Linked DNA regions of Bombyx mori. The main gene of each other region encodes a partner of the protein of the gene in region 2 in a complex. Links are inferred from orthologs where the notes say so. Each region holds a gene or a part of one and is shown on either strand. Other genes may lie near its edges.

Region 1 (4,024 bases), on a different chromosome or scaffold from region 2:
CAGGGCAAAAGCGGCAATGAACGTCGCAAGAATCGTTTTTAAATTCTTTGAAATTATGCATACTTGTTCCGTGTCCGGATGTGCTTCGACAGCAAAATACAACAAGTATTTAATGAATTATTTCAGGCAGGAATATCGTATAATTGTTGGAAATAAAATTTTAATTCACCGAGAGGCTGAAATAGCTAGATTTTTCAATTAGTAGACTGATGGCCTAAATGTTTTGTTCGGCACTTGTACACGTAAATTTATCTTCTCCACACCGAAAATAAAATTCACACCATATTTCTCATTATTTTTTAAAAAGTTTCTTAATTATTGGAGACAATCGAAACTATATGTGTAATGTGTAGATTAATTCATAAAATAATCTTGCATTGCACCTATACCTAAATCCATACATTTGTGTTGTGGGAGTTAGTGGAGTTCTTAGCAGATTTTTCTGGCAGAGACAGTAAACATTATTAACATTGCCATATTACATATTTATGTAAAAAGAGGTAAATTAACATTAAAAACCAAAATAATCAAGCCAAAAATATAACATCATTTATTTACCATCTATTATTCTTTATGGGCATTAGTTAGGTTTTTGCATATCTATAATTTTATTATCTGTATGAATTTTTTACTTTGGCTTGTTTACTTGTGTTTGGCTTAATTAAAATAAATAAAACTGTTATATGTAAATATTTTATTACTCAAGAATAGGAGATTATAATTTTTATATAGGCTTAATCTTGAAATGTAGCCCAATTAAAGAGAATACTAGACATTTAAGGTCTTGAACTAAATAATAAAACCCACGAAGACCCTCAGGGTCGCGGGATTGATTCACGTCAACCAAAGATCCAGTCTTAGAAGTAGTGAAAGAAATATGCTCTTCTCCAATAACAATTTCTAATTCCTGAAAATTAATAAAAATAGTGTTTAGTACAGCATTAATGTTTCTCGTCTTAATATAATTTGTATAAATTAAAGTTCAAATAATAAATTATAAATAATGTTATTTAAATTTATTAAAAAAAAATTTTTTACATTTTGAGAAGAATCAGAAAGGAATTTGGGAGATTTTTCAACTATTTCACTAATTCAAAGATCTACATGTCTAAACAAGCTTACATTATAGTTCAGCTATTAGCAAATTTAATGTTAAGAATGTGGAATCAAGTGTGTGGGCCACCTAGGGGGTTTGAAGGGAGTTCATGCGATATTGATGTTGTATGATGTAAAATACAATGTTATTTATTATAATAACAGCATATGCATAAATTTTAAAGCAAATGCATCACTAAAAACAAAATCACGATTAAGAAGAAGAAGACTTAAAAAGACATAGATGAGTGTGCTGTGGCCAAGCAGTAATCTACAAAGACACATGCTGTAGCAGATTGCCTTCAACTTCCATCAATCAAGAGACTAAGTATTATAATTACTAGTGGTAGCATACTGTATGGCCATGAACTAAGTTAGCGCCAACATTCTGAATAATTCTACTATGAAGCAATTATAGATTTAATTTGACAGAGTGGGCCAGTAGTTACAAAATATAATGTTATATGGTACAGGGCAGTAAAGCTAAAGATGGTATTAGAATGTCCTTAAATGAACCTTTTGGCAGGTCATATTACAAATCAGTCCTAATGAAAACATTTCAAATCCAAAAACTCTTTAGTTGATTTAACTTTGTTCAGGGCTAGTACTTTGAAAATACCAAATACTTTTAGCAAATCTTCGCTATGTGAACCAGAAAACTAAAGTGAAAATCCAAGATGATGAATAACTTCTATGTAGGCATTTAATATTTCATTTAGTGTTGAGTTTGCCTCAAATTAGATTTAGGATAGGATTGTTCATAGTTCATAGTTCATCAACTTGGTTGTTTCATAAAGAATAAAGTAAAAAACTTAGTTTCACTTTGCATTTCCGTGTTAAATTTGTCTTTAAATAAAATACACACATATAATTATAAATCAATGTTTTAGGTTAGAATAAATTTAACTTTTTGCAATGATAATTTTTTTCAGGAAATTTGGAAAACCTTATTATATTAGTTAGTTGTGGAATTTTAACATACCTGCCTACCAACCCTATCAGGTTGTGGCCACAGGCGATCGTCTTCGTGCATGATTTCGGAATCAATTATGATTCTTTTTAACTCGTCCATTACACAAGGGTGAACATAGGCTTCTTTACGTATCATTGTATCGTTTTTATAGTTGGAATTATTGGCATAACGCAGTTTCCCGTCAGGCCGGAATTCAAATTCGAGAAATTCGTGGCCAAACTTTCCCTTGTGTCCAACATAATATCGTATGTAAAAATCCGTAGACATTTTGCACAGAGTTTTAAATTTATCCTCGAGAACTTCCACTTTAGCGGCTCTACTGATACACTAAAAGAAAATTACTCAATGATGAGAAAACCCTCAAACGCAAATTATCAGTTAAATTAATTTCAGAATTAAACTTCAGATTACACTCGCGTGTTTAATTCAATGTAGAGTATTGTAGAGTGGTGTTTGTTTGTTTGATTTATGGAAGGTTCATACTTCCAGTTGTCCGATTAGGAAGACAAAGAGAACATTGCCTAAACAGCCTAGCATTTTGCAAAAAGATAAAGAGGAAAAATTACGAAGATTACGGAATGAAGTTGAATGAAATCAAACGTGAAATAAAATAAGATGAGATGATATCGAGGAGTGAAAGGCTGTTTGGTTAATTTGATAATTTTCCAACTTTACCCGAGAGCCGTTGAAAGCTTAAAATTTGGAAAAAATATCAAAACACAAAAACTTATTCAGCTGTACGAATGAGATATACTTAATTGAAGTTCAATAAAAAACTTCGAACGAATAATTAGCAATTCGTAGGTAACTAATTAATTAAACGGACTATAATATTAAAATAAAATAAAAATTCCTCGCGTTCCAGCCAAAAATCCTTTCGCATATTTAATAGTACCAAAAGCCTTGATACTCGTATGATAGCACTGCTGTAGGGTGAATGAAGTTAGCCCCTCAAAAAAAATTTTTTTTCCTGTTTTCTACTTATTTTCTATTAATTCGTTTGTTCATCATTTGTTCTTGATTGTTCATTGTTAATAATTGTTTGTTCCCCATTTTATTATTTTAAAAAAAATATTAAAAATATATCTAAAAGTTAGCCCCTCGATTGCAATTTTTAATATTTTTTCGTCCTTAATTACTCGTAAATATTCATTTTCGATTGTTCTTATATAAAATACGTTTGTTCTCTTTCGAAATTACTCATTTTTTGTTTAATTAATTGTATTAGTTGAATAAATGTATACAAAATATGTGTACTGCGCATGCCATAAGTGTATAATCTATGGCGCATGCGTCAACTATAATGCCTAAACTTTCTACGCGGTTTTAATCGTGAAAAAAAAAACAATTATAAATCCTGAAGGATCGATTAATTGGTATACAGTTTAATTAAAAAAATTAAAAAATAAATAAATAAAATAATGTGCATTCGCGTAAAGTTAGACCAAATACATTTTTTCCATCCTCCTATATACCTATCGCTATGAAGGTATAAAAAAGATAGGTTAAGAGTTCATATAGGTAATATAAACAAATAAGTAAATATGTTCATTATTTATCTTTCAAGAGATAATGTAGGTATACATTATAATCCCGGGACCTGGGCGGGCCCCCCGGTGCGCACTCTGCGTGGCCGGGGGCTCCGTCTGTGGGGGAGTTTTGCTGGACTTCCACCGTGGCGCGTCCGTAGGTGGCGGATAACGGGATCCTCTGGGCGACATTCCCAGAGGTATCGTCCGATCTTTTTCGTTGCAAGGATTCTTAGGTTTAGGTCCTAGGTTTAGGGTTAGGTTTAGATGTAGATTAAGGTCCTAGGTATAGGGTTAGATTAGATGTAGGTTAAGGTCCTAGGTATAGGGTTAGGTTTAGATGTAGGTTAAGGTCCTAGGTTTAGGGTTAGGCTTAGGATAGCTTAGATAGGCTTTGCAACGAAAGAGATCGGATGACGCGGACCAA
Region 2 (4,468 bases):
AACATTTCCTTGGAAATCCTCATCTTATGACCACCTGCGGGCTGTGGGCTCGCCCAGAATCCCGTAATAAAAACACATTACCGACACAGTGACTACTGATTTCAACAATAAGCAAAGTGACTGCAAAGGAAAGAAATCTGATTTGCTCACTGTTTAAAATTTTAAATTCATACCCCTACGTAGGAATTTTATCATCAATCGAACCCGCGACACAATTTATTGAAAAGCTGTTGGTTTCAGTATACAGTTCATTCACACCCAGCATCCATTTTGATTCGTTCAAAATCAAATACGGTCGTTCTTTTGGCCACAAATTAAAACGAAATTCCTTCGACCAGTTCGACCTCTGAACGAATGCGTTGTTAATTGCGTTTTGTTTCGACCCAGTCGAAAAAATGTTTAGATCTCAAATTAATCTTGTAAAGCACAGTTAACAATTTCAACAGTTAAATTATAGAATCATATAATACATGTATTTTTAAAATTTGTAGCCGCATTATATCTTTTGCTGGTTACGCTCTAAAACTTTCTTTTTTTAACGTTTCTTCTTTCGCGTTTTGTATCACGTTTTTTTTACTTTGTGTATAATCTATAGCCGTTTTATTTCTTTTCCATTTTAGATTGTTACCTGTGACTCTTGAAACCACAGACTATCTACAAATCAACATTATTAATTTATTTTAGTAAGGGGTTTCGTCAGTAGCTATGAGCCCCCGCGTCGTCGCCTTTCAGTACTATAAACAATCACATTATTTTCGGATGAGTTCTTACCATCACTCCGGTTATCGCGGCTTAAGAATACATGAATAAATAATAATTAAAAAAAACTAAAATACACGTTTTTATAGAAAATCGTGAGATGCGCGGCGTCAATAGTTTAAATATTTTATTGACAGAAATTGCTAGCTAAGTCTTATCATTTTGATAATCTCATAAAAAGCATCCCACGCTTTTTTTTAAATAAATTTATTGTGATGTGTGGGAAGTAACGTTGTTGCACACTACATTATTTTCCATTTTTTAGTTGGATTTTCTATAAAAACATGTATTTTAGTTTTTTTAAACTATTATGTATTTTTCATTTTTTAGTTTACTTATTATCTATCATAAATTATTCTTTAATGTGCATTCAGGCAAATAAAACAGTTTCCAAATTTTCTAAGTGAAGAAAAGAAGGCGCAAAAATTAATTTGTTGTTTTGACTGCCGAAATTAAATAACGAGTCTACTGTTTAAAATATTGAATTATCATCGGTCCTTAATACCTAAGTATGCCAAATTTCAAGTTAATCTGACATTTTGAAGGTGGTCAAAATCATATTCAAAGATTCCGTTACATACCTACATAGGTATGGAGCTAATAAAAGCGTAATAATCACTTAATAGTCTATGGATCTTATGTATGAAATGTATTATCTATCTTATGGAATTAAATTCATTATCTATGGTGTTATCTATGGTTATGGACACAGTTTCTTAAGTTTCCCTTTAGTAATTTAGAAATTCAGATTCTAAGAGATTTTCACCTATCGTATAACTTGTTATTTTAAAAACTTAGAAGCGAACTAGATTCGAAAAATGACATCGTCTGAAGTATCGTCCAATAGAAAAATATTGTCGGAAGATTTGTCGAATGTTGAGTTCGACACGAGTGAAGATGTCGAAGTTATTCCCACTTTTGACTCCATGGGACTTCGAGATGAGTTATTGCGAGGAATATACACATATGGTTAGTACAAATTGTGGTGTTATTTATAATTATTACAACTGCCTACATAAACGATCATGTGGGCATTATCTTACCAGCTTTAGACCGTATTATGGTCGTCCGTCTGTCAGACTGTCGTCCTGTTTTTTCGCAACAGTTCTGCGTTCCGGCTTCGAAGAGTGACATACTAATTTACAATACATTTAAAATCAATCGCACTGTTAAACCTTGGGGGCTGGTAGATTCCGTATTGTGGTGTATGTGGGGTCCGGTAACCACTTAGTAATAACTAACGTTAATTTACAGGTTTCGAAAAACCTTCAGCAATTCAGCAGAGAAGCATCTTGCCTATAGTCAAAGGCAGAGATGTAATAGCTCAAGCACAATCTGGTACAGGAAAGACTGCGACATTCTCAATTTCAATACTACAGACTTTAGACACGACTCTGCGTGAAACTCAAGTACTTATTCTTTCACCGACCCGTGAACTGGCTACTCAGATTCAGAAAGTGATATTAGCTCTTGGAGATTTCATGAACGTTCAATGTCATGCTTGTATTGGAGGTACCAATCTTGGAGAAGATATAAGGAAATTGGATTACGGACAGCATGTTGTGTCTGGCACACCTGGCAGAGTTTTTGGTAAATAAATGAAAATTGCTAATCCAAGTAAATAAGTACTAATTGTTTTAGTTTCCAAAACCAAAGATAAACCTTCTGTGATCTTTTTTGTTATCTGGCTGGTTCACCTTTTTTATTTCTTGAAAGTAGTAACTTAACTTCCACTTCTCAAATTCACCAACAGTACTACTCACTACAGTAGTCTCACCACAAACCCATGTGTATGGTTTCAGGCATCTCAGAACAGGGATGGTGTCTATAAATTGTCATCCTTGTGCAATAATTGAAAAAGTTAAATAATCTATCCACTGCAAGATGTAGGGTGCCCTAGATTATAAGAAAACAATCTTATTTTCAGATATGATCAGAAGGCGTGTGTTGAGAACCCGGTCAATAAAGATGCTGGTTCTTGATGAGGCTGATGAGATGTTGAACAAAGGTTTCAAAGAGCAAATTTATGATGTATACCGCTATCTGCCTCCTGCAACTCAGGTTGTGCTAATATCAGCAACACTACCCCATGAGATATTGGAAATGACATCAAAGTTTATGACTGATCCAATAAGGATATTAGTAAAACGGTTTGTATGATTATTTCAAAAATACACATTAAAGTTCGAATTCTGCAGGCAAGTACTAATTTTTCTAATGAAATACGTACTTCACAATTGTTCACGATTAACTTCCATAGTGAAGGAATAACATCTTATAATAAAAATCAAACATGTAAAATTATAATTTGCGTAATTACTGGTGGTAGGTGGTAGGAATGTCTTGTAAGTCCGCACGGGTAGGTACCACGATCCTGTCTATTTTTGCTGGGACGCAGTAATGTGTTTTGGTTTGAACGGTGGGTCAGCTGTTGTACTGTAAAATGCGAGACACTAGAACTCATGTCATTTTATTTTTTTAGTGTCCTTGTAGGCAGACTAGCATACCACCCACCTGATGGTGAGTGGTGACAATCGCCCATGGAATTCAGTACAGCAAAGCTGTTCTAGGTGTCTATGGACTCTGGTAACCACTTAACACCATTAACACCGTGGGCCTTGAACTCATCCACCCACTAAGTTAAATGAAATATTTGTTTTATATTGCCCTTGAAGGAATTTGTCCACCTGATAGTGAGTGATTACTGCCGCCTATGGACACTAGTGACGCTAAGGGTTATTTGCCTGATATCTCATTTGAATAAAATTATGTCACAGTACTCAGGAAACACTAGAGGAGATTTAGATTAAGAAAAGAAGTTACATTAAGTGTAGAAAACTATCTGTTTTATTTTAGCATTATCAACTATACTATTTCTAGGATGAAGCTTATTTCTGTATGGACTATCATTTTGTTAATTGCTCAACACATAAACCTATGCAAGCTAAATAGTAATTAAGTAAACAAATTTTCTATCATGGTAAATGTATTTGAAATTAAGAATCATTTTTTCTACAGTGATGAGTTGACACTGGAGGGTATCAAACAGTTCTTCGTGGCAGTTGAACGAGAAGAATGGAAGTTTGACACACTTTGTGACCTCTATGATACACTGACAATTACCCAAGCAGTAATATTTTGTAATACAAAGAGGAAGGTTGACTGGCTCACACAGAAGATGCAAGAGGCAAACTTCACTGTCAGTTCAATGCATGGTGACATGCCACAGAAAGAGAGAGACAACATTATGAAGGAATTTCGTTCTGGTCAAAGGTAATGGAAATTCTATTAAAATAAAAACAATACGATCTTGAAGACTTTTAGTTTTCAAGATCTAAATGTGAATGGTTTCGAATTTCGTGAACTAATATCACTAGTGATTTAATATGAAAAATACAATTGCTCTTTTTTTTTTAATGTAAACGAGATATGGATCACCTTTACAGACAGCATTTATGTAATAATGCCTCTGGGCTTTTGTTGAGTGTTGGATGGGCTAGTGCTTAATGTCTAATATCTAATTTATAGTGTTATATAGTATGTAATAGATGACTATGTCTAGAAGTTATAGCAACTACAACCTCAATTCAGTTTTGAATAGTTATTGGTTTAGGTTATCACTCAATATATTGGTCAGTTTTTTAGAGGAACCATATTTTTCATGGTTCCATTATTATTCATTTGTTTCTATACTAAGCTTAAGGCCAAC

Evidence for each region.
Region 1: eIF4AIII (region 2) and mago nashi share a complex: the UniProt entries of both Drosophila melanogaster proteins name them as parts of the mRNA splicing-dependent exon junction complex. The link is inferred for Bombyx mori from reciprocal best matches to the Drosophila melanogaster genes CG7483 and mago.

What each region holds. Positions count from the first base shown.
Region 1 is NC_085121.1:13,251,807-13,255,830, reverse strand, and holds mago nashi, read right to left. Parts: upstream 2,470-4,024; 5' UTR 2,336-2,469; coding exon 2,078-2,335; intron 908-2,077; coding exon 725-907; 3' UTR 680-724; downstream 1-679. UniProt on the Drosophila melanogaster protein: Core component of the splicing-dependent multiprotein exon junction complex (EJC) deposited at splice junctions on mRNAs. Involved in exon definition of genes containing long introns, including the rolled/MAPK gene.
Region 2 is NC_085131.1:3,885,328-3,889,795, forward strand, and holds the start of eIF4AIII (eukaryotic initiation factor 4A-III), read left to right. Parts: upstream 1-1,456; 5' UTR 1,457-1,577; coding exon 1,578-1,728; intron 1,729-2,013; coding exon 2,014-2,349; intron 2,350-2,686; coding exon 2,687-2,909; intron 2,910-3,777; coding exon 3,778-4,032; intron 4,033-4,468. UniProt on the Drosophila melanogaster protein: ATP-dependent RNA helicase. Core component of the splicing-dependent multiprotein exon junction complex (EJC) deposited at splice junctions on mRNAs. Involved in exon definition of genes containing long introns, including the rolled/MAPK gene.